Xenopus tropicalis: one gene and its partners. The protein of the gene in region 1 purifies or fractionates together with the protein of each later gene. This does not show direct contact. Links are inferred from orthologs where the notes say so. Each region holds a gene or a part of one and is shown in the gene's direction. Other genes may lie near its edges. The genes, in order: sf3b1, dnajc8, snrnp200, sart1, ilf2, prpf3 and cwc15.

Region 1 (3,500 bases):
CTACTACCCCGGGGTAAAAGGTAAGTGATCTAAGTCACTTGGGGGTGCCTAACATTTTGGCACCCCCAAGTGACTTAGCCTTTCCTTCTCCTTTAAGGCTGCCAGTTCACAAAGGAGCTACCAATAGCCATTCACAGCCCTTATTTAGCACCCTCATGAACAATGTTCAGACTTGTGTTGCTCCCTAACTCTTTTTACATTTGGTGTACATAAATCCTTGCTTCCCTCTCCTCTATCTTACCTCGAAGCCAGCGTGCAGAGGGGATTTACATGTAAAATTATTACGCCACTTTCCTCAAGCATTTCATGACAGAGTACTTGCCACTAGTGATAAACTAATCTGGCCAACTTTGCAGAAAAATTCATAACCTGCTAAACCATTTGCGAAACGCGTCTACCACGCAATATTTTCTAACGTGTCTGACTTTTTTTTGAAGCAACCGCAACTTTTTCCCTTGCTCAGCAATTTTTTTTCGCAGCAAATTTTTGTGTCTGTTTAGAAAAAAAAACACCAATGGCAAAGTGTGGAATTTTGCTGCGTATCTGTGCCTGGCCATATATTTTGGTCATCAATACTTGCCACCCCAGCATTTTATCAAGTCTAGCACCATTAAGGAGAATTTTTTTTTTCTTATAAATAAAAGGCCTTTATTTCATGATGGCAAAAATCTGGTCAGTACATGCAACGTTTCAGGCCCTTCTGCCCATTTTTAAAGCTCCAGCATTTTATGACATAGCATCCTAATCTTTGTGGCAAAAGGAGTGCTGCTTTTTGCCTGGAGTAAAGCTTCTTTACACAGTGCAGGCAGTAGTTAAGAATGTGCAGCTTCTTTCATCTGCATAAAAATTTCTACTTACAAAGCCTTCAGCACAGACATTGTGTTTCTGGCAGATGAAAGAAGCTGCACACCGTATAGCTAAACTTCAGGCACATTCCAAAATACTGGCTGCGCTATGAAAAGAACACAAAACTGCCTCTGAAGGCAAAGGGATTTTGGTGTTGGGACCAGTTTTACAATCAGTTTTGATAATAAAGCAATCAAACTAAAAATAAAAAAAAATTAAAATAATGTTCTTTATAAATCTGTACAGTATTCATCTGAATCCCAGCGATTTTATGGTGTTTAATCTTTAGCACAATAAAATCCAAACTCTTAAGGGCAATGGCCCATGGGGAGATTAGTTGCCTGTGGTTAATACCTGCAGGAGGGAAACTTTGTGCAACTTCGAAAAACGAAGCAACATGTATACCCTTTTTCCTGTGGGCCATAAGTCTAAACCTATAGTTCGCTCCAGGGTTACAGATAAGCGAAAACATAGTATCTAAATTCATATAGAAGAATGTCTAGAAGGTAATGTTCTAATCATAACTTCATTTTTCTTTTCAGATGCCTTCTGGCTAGTCCCCCCCTTTAATGCATAATCTGTTTTCTTACAAAGGTCATTGTTTTTGTGAATGTACTGCTCTTTTATTTATTCTTTTTGGCTCAAATTCTAATGTATTCCAGGATATGCTTTGAAGAAACTGCATGGACCGGTAATTAACAGTTTTCTTTAATTCCTTCTGAAAAAATTAAAAGGTTCTCCCTCCTCCTGCTGGATATGTACCAATTCGTACACCTGCCCGTAAATTGACCGCAACTCCAACACCATTAGGAGGTTTGACTGGGTTTCATATGCCGACAGAGGATCGAACCATGAAAAGTGTTAGTGATCAACCTTCTGGAAATCTTCCGTTCCTGAAACCTGATGATATTCAGTACTTTGACAAATTGTTGGTGAGTTTGTGCTGCCTCTGTACTCTTCCCAGAAAGTTATGACCTCTAGACAGATACATCCCTACTGACCTTTATGGTTCTTTGAGATATCTGCTTTCTATGGCAACAACACTGTGTGTGCTGCTGTTCTCCTTGCTCACTTTCAGATCAATGGCACTTCCTCTTCTGTGCTACATACCCAAGTGGTATGACCATTTTGAGTAGCTTTTTTGCCCAAAATATTAAGTACTTAAGAAAACTGTAAGTGAGTTGTATAGATGACCCAAGAAAGTTTTATTCCTTTTGGCATTAGTATTAGCGCTACATTGACTACCATCCACCAATCATAAATAAAAAAGAGAAATGTGCAATACCTCTTTGAGCACATCTCTTCTTGTTAGGTGCAACACTGTGCCTCATATTTTCACTGGAGGACATAATCCCTCCACCTTTTCCTTGCATGTGATTGGGTAAGGGAGATGCTGCAGAGATCCTCTGTCCTCACTGTGTCGGGCGTGGATATTTATGTTGAGGGTAGGGATGCATCAAATTCAGGATTCGATTCAGGATTTTGGCTGAACTGAATCCTTAAAATCACATGACTTTTTTTTTTTTTTTTTTATGTAAACTTGGAAGATGAAAATTTTTCGCCACGTCTGAACCCTTCTGTACCCTAATTTACATATGCAAGTTAGGGTTCGGATTTGGTTCGATATTCTGTTGAATCACTCACAAAGGATTTAGGGTTCAGCCAAATAAGAAAAAAAAAATGGATTCAGTGCATCCCTAGTTAAGTGTTTCATGGGTTATTTCTTTGGGGGAATCATGCATTGACTCCAGCTTTCCCCCTGTTAATTGTTCTTAGCAGTCCCAATAAAAGTATGTTTTTACTATCCATATGAAAGTAGCATTAAACCAATGCTGCATTTCTGTTACCCCAAAACAGGGATGGTAGTGTCACACTGAGGTTTTGGTTTATGGATAAATTTCTTTTAAAAGAGTTGGCGAAATTTGTCTATAAAGTAAACAAAGTACATTCAGGATATGTCATTCTGTAAATCCATGTTTAAAAGAGTGTAAACATTTGGAAGGCCTGGTAATTTACCACAATTTAAGCTGAGAAAATATTTGTGGTGTAGATGTAGTATAATAAAATCCTAAACTTCCCAGTTAACGTTAACTGAAAAATGTTAATAAAATATTCTATGGAAACTGCTTCACTTTACTCTTTTCTGTATACATAAAAGATGAAAATAGATACTTTTACTGTTCTAACTAACTCATAAGACAGGGCATCGTATTTATTTCGTATTAATTTTTATATATTTTGCAATCTCTTTCAGGTTGATGTTGATGAATCTACACTTAGTCCAGAAGAGCAGAAAGAAAGAAAAATAATGAAGTTATTGTTAAAAATAAAAAATGGTACACCTCCGATGAGGAAAGTATGTGTCACAGTTTGCATTTTCGTTTTATACACTTGTTACAACAATTGTATTTTTGTAAATTCATAAAGGCTAATTTATCAATGGTTGGGTAATTAAATACTTCCTTTTTGCATTTTTTTTTTACTTATTGAAGAGAGAGCAAATGTGGGAAGTGTTTTAAATGTGTGTGTAAGTCAGTCACACTTCCATTGTATTTATATATTTTACCTAGCCTTTGTGTGCTCCCACAGCCCAGTGGCGTAACAATAGAGGAAGCAGACACCGTATGGTCTGTTTCCTCCAATTGTGCATTTAA
Region 2 (4,128 bases), on another chromosome or scaffold:
GTTAAATGATGCCGAAATAAAGATGTTTTGAAAGCATTTTACCTCCTAAAACTGGAAGCTGGAACAGTGGAAGCTGGCATAAGGTCTGGGTAGAGCAGTTTTCAAGCAGTTATGGACATATTTGAACCCAAAGGTATTAAAATAAAAGCACTTCCTTCTATTTTACGTTATTTGACATGGTTTAGTGCATTGTAAAAATTTATGGTATATATCCCCTTTAAATAACCTGCCAAATCTTGAAAAATGAGTGTGGTATTTAGGGGGTGTAGTTGCAATAAAACAGGCATGGTCAAAAAAAAAATTTGCAGCACTAGGTGCCCCATTTCTTTTTCTCTTTCTTTGCATTTTTTAAATGTTGAAAGGTATTATTACAAAGAAGGCATATGGTCAAAAAGGTTGCGCCCGTGCGTATTGACGTCACAAGCAAGCACGCACGCAACCTAATAAAAGGGCCTGGCACCGCCGAACAAGGAGCCGCATATATAGAGGAGCCGCTGCAGAAGAAGAAGCAGCAGCATGTATGGAGGCTCTGTGCATTAGGGGGATACTGTGTATTGGGGGGATACTGTGCATGGGGGGTACTGTGTATAGGGGCTACTATGTATGGGGGGGGCTACTTTGTATAGGGGGCTCCTGTGTATGGGGGGCTACTGTGTATGGGGGGGCACCTGTGGATAGGGGGCACCTGTGTATGGGGGGCTCCTGTGTATGGGGGGCTACAGTGTATGGGGGGGACAAAGCTGATACATAGTTATAACTCACTTATAACTGACTGCCTTCTCTCTATATTTGTATTTATATGTAGGAGTTGCTATATTGGTTTCCTTAGGTAGTACAGTATGAGGGTATAGCACATTTGCGTCTGATCCCGCCATTTCATCTATATAAAAGGAGTATTTTTTTTTTTAATGGGGTGTGGTAATTGGGGCGTGGCCACAAAAGTGGGCGTGACCAAAATTGTCCCTCTTTTCATTTTTCAAATTTTGGGAGGTATGGGACTTGGATGCCAAAGAATTATAGTAGGCAGAAGTTGGACTAGAAAGTAGGAGCCAGTTAGTGTTAGTTGTGATGGAACTCTAAAGTGACTAATTGAGGGAATAAGGTAAAATAATCAGATACTGTGAGTTTAAAATAGTCGATCCCTTCATGCAATTAGGCTGTATGCTCTCAAAGTACAATTTATTGCTATTTGAAAGACCACACAAAATCAATTATCTTGCTCTGTGAGCCATTATGAATCACGTGACGACAACATGTGTTACGCGCACGTAGCGCTAGTCAGTACGTAACAGTCTGGGATCTACCGTTCCACCTAGCGTCAGGTTACGTGTTGCCTTACGTTCGTCTGTGCTTGGCGGCAAGATGGCGGCTCCCGGGTCTGGCGGTCCGTCCGGTTCAGTGGATGATCTGTTTTCGACGTTTTACACCGAGGTAAAGTGTTTGTAGTGGAAGAGCTTAACACCAAGCTAATTTTGGTAAAATTATAGCCGGAATTACAAAAATAAAATCTAGGCAAGAAGAAATGTACTTGCTTGAACGGAGAAATGGAGCTTAGGTCATAAATGCGGCGGTAATATACATTTGAAGAACGGGAACGCTGTAGTTTGTGGCTTCCATCGGTTGCAAAACTATCAACATGTATGGTGCAAAGTGACTAGGCTTGCTACAAGGGAAGCTATTATTATGAGAAAGTGTTAAAAGCATGCGCAATTTGTTTATTTAACTACGATTCCCAGCATCCCCACTGATTCAATTGGTAATGCAGAAATATGCTGCCTAGCAAAACTGCTTTAGCAGCCTCATACTTGCTGGGGTTGTAAAATGCTGTCTGTTAAACCAGCCATAAAGTAAAAGTGGCCCCCACATGGTCTTTGGCTTCAGTGGCTAATGTGCATATGTGGGGCAAAAGAGTCCACCTGAGCTTCAAGTATGTTGCACAACATAAATATTGTATCTCTTATAATTATACTAGTGGACTTTAGTAGCACTCTTTATCTGACTGTATTTGTATTATTTTATTGACCCAACTTTGTTTTATTAAATGTATTGTGCTGCATTCATAAGCAGTGCGTTTATAAATCGAAATATTCATACATTTGTTCAAGCTGGCACATTATCTGCTAAAACCAATGATAGTGCAGAATTGCCCTTACTTTATGGCCCATGCCTGTCGGAGAATAAATGTTTGAATAGTCCTCAACCTAGGTTCAGTCACAAGCAGGTTCAAGCTGCAATATGTGATTTAAAAATGTGTTTATTAAAGAGGCCATGCATAAAAAAAGTGATAGCCCTTTTATAGTTTGATGCATTCAAATCACATCCTTTGTATTTATTTCTCGTTTGTGTGGCTTTTGTGCATTATTCATTTCAAACAAAGCACTTACATTTTTTTTAGCCAATAACATAATTATTTCTCATTTTTTCACAGGTTAAGCAAATTGAAAAACGTGATTCTGTATTAACCCCAAAGCAGCAGATAGAAAGACTGATTAGACCTGGGTCATCCTACTTTAACTTAAACCCTTTTGAGGTAAATCTTTATTTAAGGACTGCAGCTAGTAAATTATAGGTACCGTATATACTCGAGTATAAGCCGATCCGAATATAAGCCGAGGTACCTAATTTTACCTAAGAAAACTGGAAAAACGTATTGACTCGAGTATAAGCCGACTCCCCCAGTTACATGGGAGAAGGTACACTATGAATAGAGGTCCACAGAAAAACTCACAAGTGGGAGCATACTGTGGCTTCTCTTAATGGTACAATGATGCGTCGCTTACGATGTCGCGCGCACGCATATGATATATACAGGCTGTTATAACTCTACAACATAGCGGGACAGCCCAATACAAAAGAGAATGAACTACTACTCCCACATCCCCACACTAACAGCAGTCCAAGGGTGCTGGGAGTCACTAGCATTTATGCATAAAGCCTACCCCCCCCCCCACTTCAGTTTGTGTATTGCGCCCCCCCTGCCTGTGCGCTACACACTGCCTGCTCTGTCTGCACAGGCAACAGGGCGCTCTCCCACACATGTCCTTCCTGCAAGGGGCCCCTGTATGAGCGGCTCACAGGCCAGTCGCCCCTGCCGGCTCCCTCCCCCACTAAGTATAGCAGGGGGGACAAGCCCCGTACATAACTGTACCCAGCAGGGAAGCAATAAGCCTGGGCAGCCCCACACAGGCAGCCAGTTCGTTACTTGCCCATATCTTCCCAACGATGCCCCACACAGCCAGGCAGCGGGCGAATATGCGCTATGAATTGTATTTAACATGTTCATATTATATATAATTTTTTTTTAAAATGGTAATGATGTTGCTAAAGTTATTTGAAGTCATTTGTCCTGAATGCACTGATAATTAATATTTGTTTCTGGTGTTGTATTTCTACAGGTCATGTTAGCACATAAGCTTGCACAAGCTCATACAATCCCTTTTTCAAAAAAGTTGGGATACTAAAATGTAAAAAATAGAGAATGGGATGATTTGCAAATCATTTAAACCCAATATATTATTGCAAATAGTACAAAGACCACATATCAAATGCTGAGACTGAGAAATTAAATTGTTTTCTGAATAATATATACTTGTTTCTCCAGTCTCAGAGAATCATATAGTTACATAGGGTTGAAAAAAGACCATAGTCCATCAAGTTCAACCCATCCAAGTAAACCCAGCACACACAACCTATACTTACCAATCTATACACTCACATACATAAACTATATATATACAACCACTAATACTAACTGTAGATATTAGTATCACAATAGCCTTGGATATTCTGCTTGTTCAAAAACTTATCCAGGCCCCTCTTAAAGGCATTAACAGAATCTGCCATTACCACATCTCTAGGAAGGGCATTCCACAGCCTCACTGCCCTCACTGTGAAAAACCACCTACGCTGCTTCAAATGGAAGCTCCATTCCTGTAATCTAAAGGGGTGGCCTCTGATGCGTTGATCGCTTTTATGGGAAAAAAGAACATCCTCTATCTGCCTATAATCCCCTCTAATGTACTTGTACAGAGTAATCCTGTCCCCTTGCAAGCGCCTCTTTCCAGAGAAAACAACCCCAACCTCGACAGTCTAACCTCATAGCTTAAATTTTCCATCCCCTTTACCAGT
Region 3 (3,500 bases), on another chromosome or scaffold:
TTAGTTTAAAAGCTGAACAGTCATGTAAAATGGGTAGGATTGGAGATTTCTAAAGCAATATTTCCTTCTCTTTGCAGCCAGTTCTTGAGGTAATTTGTTCCAGAATGCGGTACATCTCCTCCCAGATAGAGAGGCCTATCCGTGTCGTGGCCCTAAGCTCCTCTCTCTCCAATGCCAAGGATGTTGCTCACTGGCTGGGTTGCAGTGCCACCTCCACATTCAACTTTCATCCCAACGTGAGGCCTGTTCCTCTGGAGTTACATATACAGGTACTGTGGGTCTGATACATATTTTGTATATTCTGCCACCAAGGCCTGCAAAAGGCTTCTGATACAATGGCAGCTTTGTAGCATTATGGCTGTTGGAAATGTATTGGACTTACAGCAAAATCTCTCATTTTTTGTATTGCAGGGCTTTAACATCAGTCATACACAAACGCGGCTGCTTTCTATGGCTAAGCCAGTTTACCATGCCATCGTAAAGCACTCGCCAAAGAAACCCATCATTGTTTTTGTGCCGTCCCGGAAGCAGACACGTCTCACTGCTATTGATATTCTTACTACCTGTGCAGCGGATGTGCAGCGACAAAGGTAAGAGATCCAGTAGAAAGTACCTTGGGCTGGGATTTGTAACGTGTTTGGGGAATAACCTTTATGAATGTTCTCTACAAGGTTCCTGCACTGCACAGAGAAGGATTTGGCTCCTTACTTGGAAAAGTTGAGTGATGAAACTCTAAAGGAAACCTTGTTGAATGGGGTGGGCTACCTGCACGAGGGCCTTTCATCACTGGAGAGACGGATTGTGGAACAGTTATTCAACACTGGTAAGCTTTGCCACTGTGTGTTGTCTTTATGGGTGACTGGGTTTTAGTAGCTCGTTTCTTTTTGCTTATATTGCTTGGTTCTTTGTGGTGTCTCGCCAGAGCGTGGAAATGCAAACCACAGAATAACATTAACTATATAACAATAACTTTTACAAAAGTACACTTCTATTTTCTGGTGTGGGCATCTTCCAAGCTGATATTTTGGGTCACCCACTGAGTTATGGGATTAGGGTTTTGCATAGAAGGTATTAGGGTTTTGCATAGAAGGTATTAGGGGAGATTTTCCATGCATTGCAAATGAAAAGGCAGTGCAATTGTGTAAATTTTAGGTTCTTGATGTATTTTGAAAAGTTGCTTAAAATTGTTTACTTTTCAAAAAGTTGTTTGGGTGGAGTTCCTCTTTAATTAAATGGTGGTAAAAAGTCAATGCAGTACCAGCAGTAGACAAGGAAGCCAGACAATTTGAGTACTTCTGCAACAGACTTTTTGTGCAATCTGACTGCCATACACCAGTGCAACACCAAATCCAACAATGCGAGGCACACATGTATAATGAGCCATATTATAGCTGCTGAACTATGGGAGAGACACAGGATAAAGGAGTGGTACCCAGAACCAAGTATCTTAAACAAAACATCAATCAATCTCTTTCTGTATATTTTAAGGAGCGGTACAGGTGATTGTGGCCTCTCGCAGTCTTTGCTGGGGACTTAACATTGCTGCACATCTGGTGATTATCATGGACACACAGTACTACAATGGCAAGATTCATGCGTAAGTATAGTCTGATCATTTTAGCCTTCCCTTATTTCTAAGTTGCTTAGCCTGACCACAATTTGTTTTTTAGGTATGTTGATTATCCCATCTATGATGTCCTGCAAATGGTGGGATATGCCAACCGGCCCTTGCAGGATGATGAAGGGCGCTGTGTTATTATGTGCCAAGGATCAAAGAAGGTGCGTTTAGGGGAAGCACTAAGCTTTCTTTCCTTTTTATGGAAAGCCATATAAATCATAGGTTATCATAATAGGGACTCATTTACGAGCACAAGTTTAGCTTTCTTCTATGCCTCCTCCCTTTCTCTTTCCTGTGCTCCTCACATGGTAATTTTATCTTCTCAATTTCATTACTTGTGTTTTTACCTTTGCAAACTGTACTTACCATTCAGTGTATTTTATTCCTTTTCAGGATTTCTTTAAAAAGTTCCTGTATGAGCCTTTGCCTGTAGAATCTCACTTGGATCACTGCCTGCACGACCACTTCAATGCAGAAATTGTCACCAAGACAGTTGAGAACAAACAGGATGCTGTGGATTATCTGACTTGGACTTTCCTGTACAGACGCATGACCCAAAACCCCAACTACTACAACCTTCAGGGTGAGAGCCTGCATACACAGAAGTGATATAAATTGTGTGCTGTCTGTCTTATGTCTCTTATAACTTCTTTGCTCTCCCGCAGGTGTTTCTCACAGGCACCTCTCGGATCACCTTTCGGAGCTGGTTGAACACACGCTGAGTGATCTTGAGCAGTCAAAATGCATCAGCATTGAAGATGAAATGGACGTGGCTCCTCTGAACCTGGGAATGATTGCTGCTTATTACTACATCAACTACACCACCATTGGTGAGGAGCGCTCTGTGCTCTTCTGGCTTGATCTCTTCCTGTCTCTCTCACAGCCTCTCAATTTGCTTTCTCTGCTTCTCCCCAGAACTCTTCAGCATGTCCCTGAATGCCAAGACCAAGGTGCGGGGTCTTATAGAAATAATCTCTAATGCAGCAGAATACGAAAGCATACCCATTCGTCACCACGAAGACAATCTGCTTCGCCAGGTCAGTGTAAGCTGCATCAGAAAACTGCATGGCAAATAGTGCACTGGTGTTGTTGAACAATGCAAGGGAATAGGAGGGAAGCAGGCATGACAACTATAAGGTCTTGCATAGTGTTATGGAAAGGTGCAGTCATCTTTAAGTGATAATAGTGTGGTCACAAGTGGTACATGCTGAGGGCATTGCGATGGGTAGTATGATAGCTTGGACTGGTCAAATGCAATCCCACACTGATTGGCATTCAGTTAAATTGTATTTGGATATTCTATTAAAGAGGCAGTTCACTTTAAGTTAGCGTTTAATATGTTCTATAATGTCATATTCCTAGCAACTTTGCAGTTGGTCATCATTTTTTAAAATATATTTTTAATTATTTGCCTTGCCCTTCTACATCTTTCCAGCTTTTAAATGGAGGTCACTGACCCCAGCAACCAAAAAAAAAAACTATTGCTCTGTGAGGCTTACAATTTTATGATTGTTACGTTTAATTCTTTATCTTTCTATTCAGTCCCTCTCCTATTCATTTTCCAGTATGTAATTCAAACCACTGCCCGGTTGCCAAGGTAAACAAGACCCTAGCAACCACATAACTGCTAAAATTCCAATCTGGAGCTAAATAAAAAAAAAAAAGCTGAGAAACCACAGATATTAAAAAATGAGGACCAATTGCAGATTGTCTCATGATATCATTGTCTACAGCATACTACAAGTTAATTTTAAAGCTGAACCACCCCTTTAATGACTTATAATATTATATTATATATTATAAATACTAATTCTTATATGGGCACAACAAGACCCTCAGGAATCATGGCAGCATGTTGGCTGCAAACAAATGTTTTCGTAGC
Region 4 (2,735 bases), on another chromosome or scaffold:
TTGCTAGAAATGCTGTATTTTATATACTGAATTCGCTATAACAAAAATGTATTACACTTTCTACATGACATATGCTTTCTAACATCTTCAGCTCTTCTAAAAGACACAGAAAGAGGGTGAAAAAAGTAGCACTCTAAGAATGGAAGTCTTAGGGTGTACCCACTGTCCCACAAAAAATTAGCTGTATGGTTTTTAACAAAACAAAAAGCTTAGTTTATCCTGTAGTGGATTATTTTTGTCCCTGCAGGTACAACAGATAGTTTGGTCCAGTTATTACTGACCTCTGTATCCTTCTCTAATTAACTTGTCAGATCAAGGGGGCGTGGGCGTAGGCGTGTAGAGGATTCAGACGAGGAGAACGGGATAGAAGAAATAGATGAAATACTGCAGTCTGATGATATTCGAGTGGAAAGCATGGTTATGAGTGACCAGGGTAAGAAAATATTTACATTCTCCGTTTATTTCTTTTCTAAGTGTGCCTTTTCATTCACCCGTTGTTCTTCGTTCTTTACCTGCCTATCATGCTTTAATTATAAAGGGCTTGCTAATGACTTTTTCCTTTTAAAGAAGACAATGATGACTCTGCAGCAGTTATAGAGGAAGATGAACTTGAAAGTGAATTACAAAAACAGTTGGAGAAAAGCAGAAGATTAAAACAAATTCAGCAACAAAAAGACAGCAGTGATAAGGTGTAGTGGGGAATACAATTCCCATTTCAGTATTTCAGTCTTACTTTGATCAAAAGTTAAATCTCTTGTTTTTTTAATCTAATTTTTGCTTTTCAGGTTGTTGCATTGGTCAAAAGGGTGGAGTCTCAGAAAGGTCAGGACGAAGAAGATGACGATGATAAGAAAGGTTCAATTGTATTCAATGCAACTTCTGAATTCTGCAGGACCCTTGGGGAAATCCCAACATATGGACTTGCAGGAAACAGGGAGGATCAGGAGGATCTCATGGTATGTGCATCCTGTATGTTGGTCAAGTTTTCTACTTTATTTATACTATTATATGTGTAGCATTTTTTTTTTTTTTTTTTTCTGCTACTAGGACTTTGAAAAGGATGAAGCAGATTCTGAAAATGAGAATGGAGAGTCTGATGGGGAAGAGAACATTGGTTGGAGCATGGTGAACCTTGATGAAGAGAAGAATCAGCACGATGTAAGTTCCTTGGCTATAAGTTTTTGTTTATACACTTGTAAGTATCGGACTCCTTGACAGTGTCTGTCTTTCCAGTATTCTGCCTCTTCCACTACCATTTTGGATGAAGAACCTATTGTGAACCGAGGTTTGGGTGCTGCTCTACTTTTGTGTAAGAATAAAGGTAAGGTTTTTTTTGTTTTTTTTTTTTTTACTTTTATTGCTGATGTTCAAGGGAAATTTGGGTTGGGATTGTTAAAAAAAAAAAAAAAAAAAAAATTTGAAAAATTTGCATCAGTGTGATTGTGGATTCCAAAATGGGAGCATTTGGATTTTTTTTTTTTTTTTTTTAATATTTTATCAATTTTGTTTGTATTGATGGTTTCACATTGAGCATTAACTTCAGCATCTGTTTCCTCCTAACAGGATTGCTGGAGACAACTGTACAAAAAGTGGCTCGTGTAAAGACTCCTAATAAGTCCCTCCCATCTGCTGTATACTGTATAGAGGATAAAATGTAAGCAATATGGCTTTCAAAGGGCTAACAGATCAATAAAGGAATACTTATTTTCAAAACACATCAGTTAATAGAGCTTCTCCAGCAGAATCCTGAATTGAAATCTGTTTTTCAAAAACGCAAACAGATTTCAGATATCAGAATAGCACTCAATAGTAAGAAATACATTTGTTGATTCTAGAATAAAATTTTAAGTGGTAGAGTGAATTATGGTATAAAAATATACCATAAAAATCATAGCAGTAGCCCTTTAAATAAAGTGCAACAAAGTCACCATGGCTGGGTCAGCATAATTTTGGTGAGCTGTGTAAATCAAATTCAGCGGTTAATTTGTTACCTGGGTTTCATATACATGTGATCTTGTCACTGAACAACTTTCTTTTGACCTTTTATGGTTCCTTTCTTAATCTCACTCCAAAGGGCAATAGATGATAAATACAGCAGAAGAGAAGAGTACCGGGGCTTCACACAAGATTTCAAAGAGAAGGAAGGCTATAGACCCGATGTTAAGATCGAGTATGTTGATGAGACTGGACGCAAACTCTGTCCCAAGGAGGTGAGCTGTCATGGTGCTCTCTACATTTTCTGTTCTGCTTGTCTTCAATTTATGCTTATTTTCTAAATTCCCCTTTCCACACAGGCCTTCCGGCAGCTGTCTCATCGTTTCCACGGAAAGGGATCTGGCAAGATGAAAACCGAAAGGCGCATGAAGAAGTTGGATGAAGAAGCTGTAAGTTATACTTGGTCTTCAAAGATAGACACACTATTTGTATCCTCTTGTAAGGGGCATTAGTATCTTTGCAAAGAGCATAACATATGGGAAGTATTAAAATGCACGTGAAAGGGTATGCCTTATGTTTTAAATTAAAAATGTTTTAATTTCCTAAAGTATAAATGTATACGAGTATGTCTATACAAGTCTGAGCCAGTGAGAACAAGGTGCCATGTTTTGATACTTTAGTTGGTCAGTACCAAAGCGATGAATTATACTCAGGGTTGTGGTTTATATAATAATTATGCTTTTCAGTTAAGCCAAATCTCAGGCAGCATTTGCGGTAGTTCACCTTTTTTTGAGAATCTA
Region 5 (3,961 bases), on another chromosome or scaffold:
GATGGGGCCCAGCAGTGTAGCATCTGCCCCCGGGGCAGTTCTGCAGGTTGCAGTGAATATGAATAAAACCTGGGGGTAGGTACTAACAGGGCGGAAGCTGCCGTTGCTCCCCTGCTGGGACATTGTGTCTCTCAGTAGCACCAAAAGGTGTGTGCGGATCACAATAGCACAGGGCGGAGTCCTGTTGGGGCAGATTTCAATGTAAATACCCCTGAAGGAACCTCATGGGGGGGATGCAGCAGTAACATATCTATGTTAAAGGGCTAGTTCCCCTTTAAATGAACTTTTTTTTTGTGGTTTTTCAGTTATTTAGGTTTTTGTCCTGGAGCTCTTACTATGCACCTATGCGGTTGCCAGGGTCTTATTTACCTTAGCAACCAGGCAGTTGTTTGAATGAGAGACTGGAATATAAATAGGAGAGGGACTGAATGGAAAGATAAGTGATAAAAAATAACAATAATATTGTAGCCTTACAGAGCAGTAGTTGTTTTTTGGTTGCCGGGGTCAGTGACCCCCATTAGAAAGCTGGAAAAAGGCAGAAGAGACTTGTAAGATGTTTGTTGCTATTACAGTGTTTGTCTGCTGCCCTGCTGGTTCTGACTTCTGAAGCAATGTAGCAGAAGCCAACAGATTCACAGAGCTGGAGAAGGAATTGACTGCTGCCACACACTGTATTACAGGAGTCAGAATGGGAAAGGCTGTGGGGTAACTACAGGAACAGCCCCCCCCCCCCATTACTTGTATCTCCCCAATAAACCCTCACAGACTTGCACATTTTTCATAAACAAACTATTTTGTGAGAGTTTTTCCACCATTGTTAGCGCCATTTCTTTACAGGGCGATACAAATGCAATACTGGAAGTAAAAATACCAGCAGCCATTTTGTCCAGGCGTTGTGTTGGTTGATTATAAATAAAGTTTAGCGGGAAAAAGTGGAATCTGCCGCCATTATGGAAGTAGCGTCCTGTGTGGGCGGGCTTACTCCGCCTTCGGCGATTGGTGAGTGTCCCCGTCCGTCACAGCGATGCGTTTGCCGAGCGGGTTTGGATAGGTTGTCAGACGCCGAGAGGGAGGGAGTTGACTGTTCGTGATGCTGATTGGCTGTGGAACCGGTCGTTATAGCCAATAGGAAAGCAGATTGTTGGTCTAGTGTGGCTGTATCGAGGGCCGAGAGGTTGTCCATTGTGCGGGAGTGTGAGGAACGAAGATCTGAAACATGAGGTGCGGGGGGTTCGGGGGCCGAGTGGGGAGCTGCCATGGGGATTGGGGGGACCGGGAGCGGTGCCGGGTTTCCTTCTCGCCTTCCGGGGCCTATTGTGGGGCACATTGTGTGCTGGGCTCCGGGGGGCCTGGTCCTACTGAGAATAGGATAGGGGGGCTCCGGGGGGTACTGTACCTAATATATAGGGGGGCCCTGGGGGTACTGTACCTAATATATAGGGGGGCCCTGGGGGTACTGTACCTAATATATAGGGGGGCCCTGGGGGTACTGTACCTAATATATAGGGGGGCCCTGGGGGACTGTACCTAATATATAGGGGGGCCCTGGGGGTACTGTACCTAATATATAGGGGGGGGGCCCTGGGGGGAACTGTACCTAATATATAGGGAGGGATAGGGGGGCCCTGGGGGGAATGTACCTAATATATAGGGAAGGGATAGGGGGCCCTGGGGGGAATGTACCTAATATATAGGGAAGGGGATAGGGGGGCCCTGGGGGGACTGTACCTAATATATAGGGAAGGGATAGGGGGGCCCTGGGGGACTGTACCTAATATATAGGGAAGGGATAGGGGGGCCCTGGGGGGACTGTACCTAATATATAGGGAAGGGATAGGGGGGCCCTGGGGGGACTGTACCTAATATATAGGGAAGGGATAGGGGGGCCCTGGGGGGACTGTACCTAATATATAGGGAAGGGATAGGGGGGCCCTGGGGGACTGTACCTAATATATAGGGAAGGGATAGGGGGGCCCCTGGGGGGGACTGTACCTAATATATAGGGAAGGGATAGGGGGGCCCTGGGGGGACTGTACCTAATATATAGGGAAGGGATAGGGGGGCCCTGGGGGGACTGTACCTAATATATAGGGAAGGGATAGGGGGGCCCTGGGGGGACTGTACCTAATATATAGGGAAGGGATAGGGGGGCCCCTGGGGGGACTGTACCTAATATATAGGGAAGGGATAGGGGGGCCCTGGGGGGACTGTACCTAATATATAGGGAAGGGATAGGGGGGCCCTGGGGGGACTGTACCTAATATATAGGAAGGGAAGGGGGCCCTGGGGGAACTGTACCTAATATATAGGGAAGGGATAGGGGGGCCCTGGGGGACTGTACCTAATATATAGGGAAGGGATAGGGGGGCCCTGGGGGGACTGTACCTAATATATAGGGAAGGGATAGGGGGGCCCTGGGGGGACTGTACCTAATATATAGGGAGGGATAGGGGGGCCCCTGGGGGGACCTGTACCTAATATATAGGGAAGGGATAGGGGGGCCCTGGGGGGACTGTACCTAATATATAGGGAAGGGATAGGGGGGCCCTGGGGGGACTGTACCTAATATATAGGGAAGGGATAGGGGGGCCCTGGGGGGACTGTACCTAATATATAGGGAAGGGATAGGGGGGCCCTGGGGGGACTGTACCTAATATATAGGGAAGGGATAGGGGGGCCCTGGGGGTACTGTACCTAATATATAGGGAAGGGATAGGGGGGCCCTGGGTACATGATCGGATAACAAATATTGGGCGCTGGATGTTTGAATAATGATATAGTGATAATAAATGAGTAGAACACAGAGGGTCATACAGTAATAAATACAAAGTAGTTATATTAGAGATTAAGAGCTAAGTGTCCTGTGACGCTTACAATCTAAGGTGCCCCCCCCCCCCCCAGAAATGTACGTATTCTAAATTGTTCTACTTTTCTTAGGGGTGAACGAGGACGTGGACGTGGCCGCTTTGGCTCCAGAGTGGGACCTAACACAGGGTGAGCTGCCTATTGTAACTACATACTCCCGTCAGTCGCTCCTGGGTGGAAATGTGATGTAGAGGGTAATGTTCCGAGACAGCTTGCAGTTGGTCTTCATTTTGTATTCATAGTTTTTTAATTATTTACATTTTTGTTCAGCAGCTATCTGGTTGCTAGGTGGGTGCTAAATCACCTTAGCACCCATGTAGTGGCTTGATTAAGAGACTGATCTATGAATAGGGGAGGGGCTGAATAGAAAGATAAGGAATAAAAAGTAACAATAACCATAAAACTGGAGCCTCACAGAGAAGTTTTCTGGCTGCCGGGGTCAGTGACCCCCATTTTGAAAGCTGAAGAGAATAAGAGGAAGGCAAATGATGAAAAAATAATAAATAAATAATGAAGACCAATTGAAAAGTTGCATTGAATTGGCCATTGTATAACATACTAACAGTTGCGTGTAAAGGTGCAGCCCCCCTGACTCTGTGCCATAGGGTAGCCATATTCCTTATTCAGTAGCCACATTGTGCAGTGCAGGTACATGTTCTCTAATGTAAATATGACCCTTTTATTCTTTCTCTTACAGTTTCAGACCCTTCGTCCCTCACATTCCCTTTGATTTCCACGTGGTAAGTGGCTTTTCCTTCCCCCCACATTCTGTACATGTATATATATATCTATATAGATAGATATATCTTCTCTATCCTTGTGCTTACATACTGACTTACCCTTCTTTTCAGTGTGAAATGGCCTTCCCGCGTGTGAAACCCGCCCCCGACGATAGCTCATTCAGCGAGTCACTGCTCAAACGAAACCAAGATCTGGCCCCCAGCACAGCCGAGCAGGTAGCTATATGCTTCCCTTGCCCCCCACCCCCGGCACTGTTGCCTCTGCCCATATTCATTATACCCTTTGTGCTCTCCCCCCACCAGGCCTCAATCCTTTCTTTGGTCACCAAAATCAACAACGTTATCGACAATTTGAT
Region 6 (2,969 bases), on another chromosome or scaffold:
TGCATGGAACAGAAAACCTTCTGCTAGGGTCACTGAATTTAAGGCATTGTTACAAAGATTCCAGAAATTAGTGAAACTAGTCTCTAGTGGATTATACAAATCCATTTTAGATAAACTTAAAAACCTTGGAGCAGAATGTCTCTATAGCTAAGGTCTGAATGTGCCATTGAGTTTATTGCAGAAGTATACATGTAGGAGCAGACCTAGCCACTGAGTATACAGTCAAGCCCATTCTACCTAAAGCAAGTTCACATTTGTAAACAGAATAGGCGGAAATACTAAATATATGTATTGAGAATGAAACTTAGTAATATACCATTTACAAAGATTTCCACAGGAAAACTACACCCCCCAAACAATGTAGGTCTCTATAAAAATATTGCATAAACAAGCAGCCCATATGTAAAACCCTGCTTCATCTGCACTCCTAAATAGAAAATTGCCATTTTAAGTACTAAAGGCTGCCCCCAGGGATCATAGGATTCACGGTGCACACAAACAAGCCAAGGCACACATAAATGCTAGGCCCCATCAGCCAATTAATGGACAGAGTTCTGCCTTTTGCTCCCACACTACTTCCTGTTACAGTTAGAGCTGCATTATTTCCTGTCAGCTGATCTCTGAGGGAGCACACAGCCCATCACTAAATTGTGGCTCAAGGGAAAGGATGTAAAAGGGTAATATTTACTGATATACTATCTATCTATAACTATCTGTTGGTTAAGTATTCATTCTGGGGGTATAGTTTCTCTTTAAAGGTAAAAAAAAATGCCCTTTTTGACATTCAGTTGGGCTTCGGTTAACCTTAACCTTTAGAAATAAATGTATATTTATTTTTACACAGCTAGACTTCAGAGTAGGAATTCAGAAGATTCTGGGACATGAAGTTCTCTGCTTTGCAGAGAATCTGTGCACTTCCCAGCATGGAAAGCATAAGAACTTCAAGTCCCAGAATCCATCACTTCAACATGGAATAAAGAGAAGGAAAGGTTAAATGCGTGCCTAATGGGGACAGGGGGGTATGGTCCATGCAACTCAGAGGCTGACTGTCATGGTTTCCTTTCCTGTATATCTGCATATAGAAACAGAGCTGAAGTGCCTCATTTCCCTTCCAATTATCATGACAAATTTTCTGATTGTTTTTTAGGGTACAACTAAGGAACGCAGCTTTGGAGACATGAAATTCAAACAGTGTCCCACAGAAAATATGGCTAGGGAACATTTTAAGAAACATGGAGCAGAGCATTACTGGGATCTGGCGCTTAGTAAGTCTGTTTTGGAAACTGCAGACTGAAAGCAAGTTCTGAGCCTTACAACACTGCTGCACTTCTCCAAACAGAAGGAAAAAACAGACTAGGACTATGAGCGCCTTAACAACTTGCAGCGCTCGCAACTAAATCTAGCTTGAAACACACTGTTTCTTGCCCAAGCAAAGTTATCCTTCTCTTCCATCTTACTGTAATTCTGGGTAACCTCAAACACTGCTGCCGACCAGTTTAACCATAGCAACCTGCTCTTGTCCAGCCTTTGCTCACTGATTGTAACATAAATGACAGCCACTCTGCAGCCTTTACCCCTACCCCCAGTTTTTTTTTCTTTTCACATAAAAAGGCTTTATGCTTCAACTCTGAAGAAATGCTGTTTTCAGAATGATTTATTTTGGTAAAGATAAGCCTTATTTTGGTTGGTTCATACATGCAAACAGAAAAAAGAAAATGTAAATACATGGGAAGAATGAAAAACATAGACCATACATAATGGGAATTGGGATTAAGCATTCAAACAACTCATTACAAAATCCATATGGTTAAAGGAGAAAAAGATACAGAAGCCAGTAGGGTGTAGGTAGTATTTGTAGCCTAAGTCCACCACAGCCCTTTAGCAGTAAAGTTCTGTGACCCCCTATCCTCTTTTCTGCTGATTCACTGAGCATGGGCAGTGCCACTGACACTCATTAGATGGCTTACAAATATCAGAAGATGGAGAGCTACTGTGGACAAATTGGAAGGCAAGTGTCATTACTGTTATAGCTGCTAAACCTCTGGGCTTGCACAGTAAGTTAAGTGTTTAGAAGGCAGCATTTTAACCATATTTGTTCTTAGTTCTCCTTTAATTCAGAGAAGCATCCTCTAGTGTTGAAAACATATGCATTTTTTCCAATTCAACTTCATAATTCCTTGGTTTGTATTAATGGTTTAAATAGTTTCGCCTTACAACCGGAAAGGTTGATTTTCAGCTTTGCGGATAAGCTCCAGTTTACATGGATTCATCAAGCACCCTGGACAGGACAATTGGCAAGAAACCTTATCCTATAGATTTGACTCCATGTTTCTTTATTGTGGATTGGCATTCTGTTGGCAATTTGTTTTGTTTAGCACAACAGAACTTCAGAGTGAAATTTATAAAGTGGAGTGTAGGAAAAGGGGGATTTAGCCCTAAACCTATGACATAATAAACTTTTTTTTTTTTTTAATTGTTGTGAAAGTTTTTGTTGGTGTAATTTCATCATGTGCGGGGGGGGGGTAGCTGTGTGTATGGCTCTTAATACATTAAGGTGCTCATGAAACTGGGACGGAAGCAAAAATGTAAATGGGATGCTGCTATTCCATACATTTATTGGGCTCACTGCTGAAGTACAAATGTTTTGGGAGAGGAATAATTCTCCACTCACCTCCCAAAATGTCCCGACCAGTGACTTGGTTATACAGCACCATTCATATAATATTCATGTCCGTCCCTATGTCTGTGCAGCTCACAATCTAAGGCCTATATGTCACACAGATTTTGGTCAGTTTCATCAGGAGCCAAAGAACCTGGCTGGTTTTGAAATGTGGAATGAACCAAAGTAGCCAGAGGAAACCCATGCAGACACATGGGAGAACATAGAAATGCCTTACAGATTGTGCCCTGGCTGGAATTAAACCTCTGACCCCTATACTGCACCCAATAAAGGTTTAGTACAGCACATT
Region 7 (3,953 bases), on another chromosome or scaffold:
AGTCCAGTTGCTTTAGGGCTCTGGCACATGGGGCGATTAGTCGCCCGCGACAAATCTCCCTGTTCGTGGGTGACTAATCTCCCCGAGTTGCCATCAGTTGCCATCCCACCGGCGAACATGTAAGTCGCCGGTGGGATGGCACACGCGGCGCGATTTCGGCAAGTCGCCGAAAATGCCTCGCGAGGCAACTGCGCAGCGTGTACCATCCTTACATGCTCGCCGGTGGGATGGTAGTTCAGGGAGATTAGTTGCCCGTGACAAGGGAGATTTGTTGCGGGTGACTAATCTCCCCTTGTGCCAGAGCCCTTACATTTATTTATACTAGATATACCATGACCTGGATGAATGAAAATCTTCATAGACATACACTATCTATCCTTTCACTCCTAGAGTGACAATAAAATGTCTAACTGGCTCCTGTAGCTAACCTCTTAGAGAGGTGAAGTCCCAGGAAGAAGACCTCATGGTTTGTGAGTCCATTCCCTTTTATATTGCAGAACACCACCACCTAGTGGTCACTGCTGAACTGCAGAGGAAACTCTCTTTTAATCTGGAAAGAATAATTATAATAATATAATAATTAAAGATGAATTAAAAAGTTAAAAAAAAAATTGTAGATGTTTATGTAAAGTTGGGGGGAACACAGGTCAAAAAATTTCATAACGGTAATGATGCTTCATTGTTATTTGTATATGACAATAAACTAGAAACTATAGCACACACACAATTAGGACCACCCTTAGGTCCATATCCCACAAGGCCACCCACTGGTATGCCTGTCTAAAGGGGAACCCAGGCACAGGGGCCCAAATCTTGGGGTCCCTACATAAAAATTATTAAAAAGAATTAATGAATAACAAAAAAGGGCAACTAATTTAGTAAAGAGAAATCTCAGTTATGAAAAATGACTGCTCGGAAATGTTCTTATGTAAACCAACACAGAGAAGTCAGAAGCCCTGCACAGTGTTATATAATATTCTCCCTTTACCGCACATACACCCCCTGATTCATTACATAGCCACAACAAACATGGCCGCCGACGGCTTCCAATCAGCTGGAACGCCCTCTTGCTTACGTGACGCGTACTCCGAGCGCCGGAAGTTTCCCGGTGGAAAGAACTAGCGCGACGGGTAATTGTGACGCCAGTCGCCGTGGGATTTGGTGCTGGGGCTGAGGCGCTGTTACGGGGTGAGCGAAATCGCACCTTTGGGAAGAGGGGAATTCAGGCTGAACGGCAGCGATTATTTTAGTCATAGGGGATTGAGGCCCTCTAGGAGCAATATATCGCCCCCCACTATCCCTGTTGGCTGGGGAAGCTTACAGCTCGGCTTTATCTACTTAGCAATACTGTACCCTCCTGCCCAGTCTGTGAGTCCCCTGCTAATGTAAGGGAACTCGGCTGGTTAAGCCTATGGCCAGCAATATCAACTTGAGGGACAATTGAAAGTACAGGCATGGGATCCCTTATCTGGAAACCTGTTATCCAGAACGTTCCAAGTTACAGAAAGGCCATCTCCCATAGACTCCATTTTAATCAAATAATTCAAATTTTTAAAAATGATTCCCTTTTCTCTGTAATAATAAAACAGTACCTGTACTTGATCCCAACTAAGATATAATTACCCCTTATTGGAGCAGAACAGCCCTATTGGGTTTATTTAATGGTTAAATGATTCCCTTTTCTCTGTAATAATAAAACAGTACCTGTACTTGATCCCAACTAAGATATAATTACCCCTTATTGGGGCAGAACAGCCCTATTGGGTTTATTTAATGGTTAAATGATTCCCTTTTCTCTGTAATAATAAAACAGTACCTGTACTTGATCCCAACTAAGATATAATTACCCCTTATTGGGGGCAGAACAGCCCTATTGGGTTTATTTAATGGTTAAATGATTCCCTTTTCTCTGTAATAATAAAACAGTACCTGTACTTGATCCCAACTAAGATATAATTACCCCTTATTGGGGGCAGAACAGCCCTATTGGGTTTATTTAATGGTTAAATGATTCCCTTTTCTATGTAATAATAAAACAGTACCTGTACTTGATCCCAACTAAGATATAATTACCCCTTATTGGGGGCAGAACAGCCCTATTGGGTTTATTTAATGGTTAAATGGTTCCCTTTTCTCTGTAATAATAAAACAGTACCTGTACTTGATCCCAACTAAGATATAATTACCCCTTATTGGGGGCAGAACAGCCCTATTGGGTTTATTTAATGGTTAAATGATTCCCTTTTCTCTGTAATAATAAAACAGTACCTGTACTTGATCCCAACTAAGATATAATTACCCCTTATTGGGGGCAGAACAGTCCTGTTGGGTTTATTTCATGGTTAAATGATTCCCTTTTCTCTGTAATAATAAAACAGTACCTGTACTTGATCCCAACTAAGATATAATTACCCCTTACTGGGGCAGAATAAGCCTATTGGGTTTATTCAATATTTGAATGATTTTTACCAGACATAAGGTAGGAGATCCCTTATCTGGTCACGAGCATTCTGGATAACAGGTCCCATACCTGTAGTATCATTCTGCCTTTCCTGTGCTCTGCGCTGCTGCTTCTGACTCCTGAAGCTGTGTAGAAAAAGTCAGCTTATGAAAGTAGGAATTTTAAAACAGTTCTTGTATTTGTGTGTGAAACAGTTGTGTAAAAGATGACAACCGCGGCCAGGCCAACGTTTGAACCAGCAAGAGGCGGCAGAGGTAAAGGGGAAGCCGATCTCAGTCAGCTCTCAAAGCAGTATTCCAGCAGAGACCTCCCCTCTCACACTAAGATCAAATACAGGTATGTGAGTGGCTAAGGCATGTAAGATATTTGTTCTGTAGTCCTTAACATGGCACAGTGAATTATGTTGGTCATTAAAGGGGAAGTATATCCCCCTTTTCAAGATTATTTCACTTGTGCTTGTGTTGAACATTCTTTTTGTTATTATTTACAAACCATTATGAGACACCTCTGTATATGGGTGAAGACACACGGAGCTACTAGTAGCAGCTACTTGTCACGGCTACTAAAATAGACAGTGCTGATCATTTACTGATAATTGTCTCTAAATTGTGTGTTTTAGCAGAGGCAATTCTCAGTATTGTCTGTGGCAGGGGATTTTCTGGCGTTTAGTAGCCGTGACAAATAGCTGCTACTAAGTACCATGTGTCTTCATCCTAATACCTGTTCCTTATCACAGAGCCTAATGACTAAAGGCTGCCCCTGGGGGAAGGGAGGGGTTTGTTTATACAGTGGACTTTTCGTATGTATATATTTATTAAGCGGTACTTATGTACGCAGCGCTGTACAGTAGAATACATTAATACAAACAGGAGGTTATTAAAATAATAGATAAATACAAAGTATAACAATAAATACAGATAAATACAAGATACAGTTGCAATAAGTTAAGAGTCAAAGACACAAGAGGATGGAGGTCCCTGCCCCGTAGAGCATACAGTCTAGATGGGAGGGTAACTTACAGACACAAATAGGCAAATATAAGTGCTGTAGGTCACAGTGGGTGACATTACAATATAAGTGCCAGTTCCCAGATCAGGTGCTGGGTGAGTGCTCCAAAAGTTAGTCTTTAAGTTTAGTTTTAAGAACACTGGGGAGGATTTTCTTCGGAGGAAATCTGGGAGGGCATTCCAAATATAAGGGGCAGCAAGTTGGGAAACTGCAGTAGTAGTGGGGGGGGGGCGTAACCAAGCAGTTACTCTGCGAGGAACAGAGGAGTCGACCAGAAATGTACGGCGACACAAGGGAAGAGATGTAGTGAGGAGCAGAGGAATGGAGGGCTTTGAAGGTTAGGAGAAGGAGTTTGTAAGATATTCTTTGTTTAATAGGAAGCCATGATAAGGACTTTAGCAGGGGAAGGGCCTGAACTCTCCTGGATGAGAGGAGGAGAATTTTGGCAGCAGTGTTTAATATAGACTGTAGTGGGGAAAGATGG

What was found.
Region 2: the proteins of sf3b1 (region 1) and dnajc8 purify together in Homo sapiens (co-immunoprecipitation; 4 studies listed by BioGRID and IntAct, with this or other methods). This does not show direct contact. The link is inferred for Xenopus tropicalis from reciprocal best matches to the Homo sapiens genes SF3B1 and DNAJC8.
Region 3: the proteins of sf3b1 (region 1) and snrnp200 purify together in Homo sapiens (co-immunoprecipitation; 4 studies listed by BioGRID and IntAct, with this or other methods). This does not show direct contact. The link is inferred for Xenopus tropicalis from reciprocal best matches to the Homo sapiens genes SF3B1 and SNRNP200.
Region 4: the proteins of sf3b1 (region 1) and sart1 purify together in Homo sapiens (co-immunoprecipitation; 4 studies listed by BioGRID and IntAct, with this or other methods). This does not show direct contact. The link is inferred for Xenopus tropicalis from reciprocal best matches to the Homo sapiens genes SF3B1 and SART1.
Region 5: the proteins of sf3b1 (region 1) and ilf2 fractionate together in Homo sapiens (co-fractionation; 3 studies listed by BioGRID and IntAct, with this or other methods). This does not show direct contact. The link is inferred for Xenopus tropicalis from reciprocal best matches to the Homo sapiens genes SF3B1 and ILF2.
Region 6: the proteins of sf3b1 (region 1) and prpf3 purify together in Homo sapiens (co-immunoprecipitation; 3 studies listed by BioGRID and IntAct, with this or other methods). This does not show direct contact. The link is inferred for Xenopus tropicalis from reciprocal best matches to the Homo sapiens genes SF3B1 and PRPF3.
Region 7: the proteins of sf3b1 (region 1) and cwc15 purify together in Homo sapiens (co-immunoprecipitation; 3 studies listed by BioGRID and IntAct, with this or other methods). This does not show direct contact. The link is inferred for Xenopus tropicalis from reciprocal best matches to the Homo sapiens genes SF3B1 and CWC15.

Annotation. Positions count from the first base shown.
Region 1 is NC_030685.2:45,884,422-45,887,921, reverse strand, and holds part of sf3b1 (splicing factor 3B subunit 1), read left to right. Parts: intron 1-1,580; coding exon 1,581-1,778; intron 1,779-3,100; coding exon 3,101-3,202; intron 3,203-3,500. UniProt on the Homo sapiens protein: Component of the 17S U2 SnRNP complex of the spliceosome, a large ribonucleoprotein complex that removes introns from transcribed pre-mRNAs.
Region 2 is NC_030678.2:79,254,527-79,258,654, forward strand, and holds the start of dnajc8 (dnaJ homolog subfamily C member 8), read left to right. Parts: upstream 1-1,328; 5' UTR 1,329-1,362; coding exon 1,363-1,431; intron 1,432-2,428; coding exon 2,429-2,530; intron 2,531-4,128. UniProt on the Homo sapiens protein: Suppresses polyglutamine (polyQ) aggregation of ATXN3 in neuronal cells.
Region 3 is NC_030679.2:125,079,387-125,082,886, reverse strand, and holds part of snrnp200 (U5 small nuclear ribonucleoprotein 200 kDa helicase), read left to right. Parts: intron 1-77; coding exon 78-269; intron 270-411; coding exon 412-590; intron 591-671; coding exon 672-823; intron 824-1,488; coding exon 1,489-1,597; intron 1,598-1,670; coding exon 1,671-1,779; intron 1,780-2,011; coding exon 2,012-2,201; intron 2,202-2,283; coding exon 2,284-2,448; intron 2,449-2,533; coding exon 2,534-2,655; intron 2,656-3,500. UniProt on the Homo sapiens protein: Catalyzes the ATP-dependent unwinding of U4/U6 RNA duplices, an essential step in the assembly of a catalytically active spliceosome. Plays a role in pre-mRNA splicing as a core component of precatalytic, catalytic and postcatalytic spliceosomal complexes.
Region 4 is NC_030680.2:38,873,155-38,875,889, forward strand, and holds part of sart1 (U4/U6.U5 tri-snRNP-associated protein 1), read left to right. Parts: intron 1-311; coding exon 312-433; intron 434-567; coding exon 568-689; intron 690-785; coding exon 786-956; intron 957-1,047; coding exon 1,048-1,158; intron 1,159-1,233; coding exon 1,234-1,321; intron 1,322-1,563; coding exon 1,564-1,654; intron 1,655-2,074; coding exon 2,075-2,210; intron 2,211-2,294; coding exon 2,295-2,384; intron 2,385-2,735. UniProt on the Homo sapiens protein: Plays a role in mRNA splicing as a component of the U4/U6-U5 tri-snRNP, one of the building blocks of the spliceosome. May also bind to DNA.
Region 5 is NC_030684.2:144,160,640-144,164,600, forward strand, and holds the start of ilf2 (interleukin enhancer-binding factor 2 homolog), read left to right. Parts: upstream 1-1,161; 5' UTR 1,162-1,216; coding exon 1,217-1,221; intron 1,222-2,937; coding exon 2,938-2,994; intron 2,995-3,562; coding exon 3,563-3,605; intron 3,606-3,716; coding exon 3,717-3,821; intron 3,822-3,908; coding exon 3,909-3,961. UniProt on the Homo sapiens protein: Chromatin-interacting protein that forms a stable heterodimer with interleukin enhancer-binding factor 3/ILF3 and plays a role in several biological processes including transcription, innate immunity or cell growth.
Region 6 is NC_030684.2:127,685,432-127,688,400, reverse strand, and holds the end of prpf3 (U4/U6 small nuclear ribonucleoprotein Prp3), read left to right. Parts: intron 1-1,147; coding exon 1,148-1,294; 3' UTR 1,295-2,469; downstream 2,470-2,969. UniProt on the Homo sapiens protein: Plays a role in pre-mRNA splicing as component of the U4/U6-U5 tri-snRNP complex that is involved in spliceosome assembly, and as component of the precatalytic spliceosome (spliceosome B complex).
Region 7 is NC_030678.2:164,535,102-164,539,054, reverse strand, and holds the start of cwc15 (protein CWC15 homolog), read left to right. Parts: upstream 1-1,153; 5' UTR 1,154-1,188; intron 1,189-2,655; 5' UTR 2,656-2,666; coding exon 2,667-2,797; intron 2,798-3,953. UniProt on the Homo sapiens protein: Involved in pre-mRNA splicing as component of the spliceosome. Component of the PRP19-CDC5L complex that forms an integral part of the spliceosome and is required for activating pre-mRNA splicing.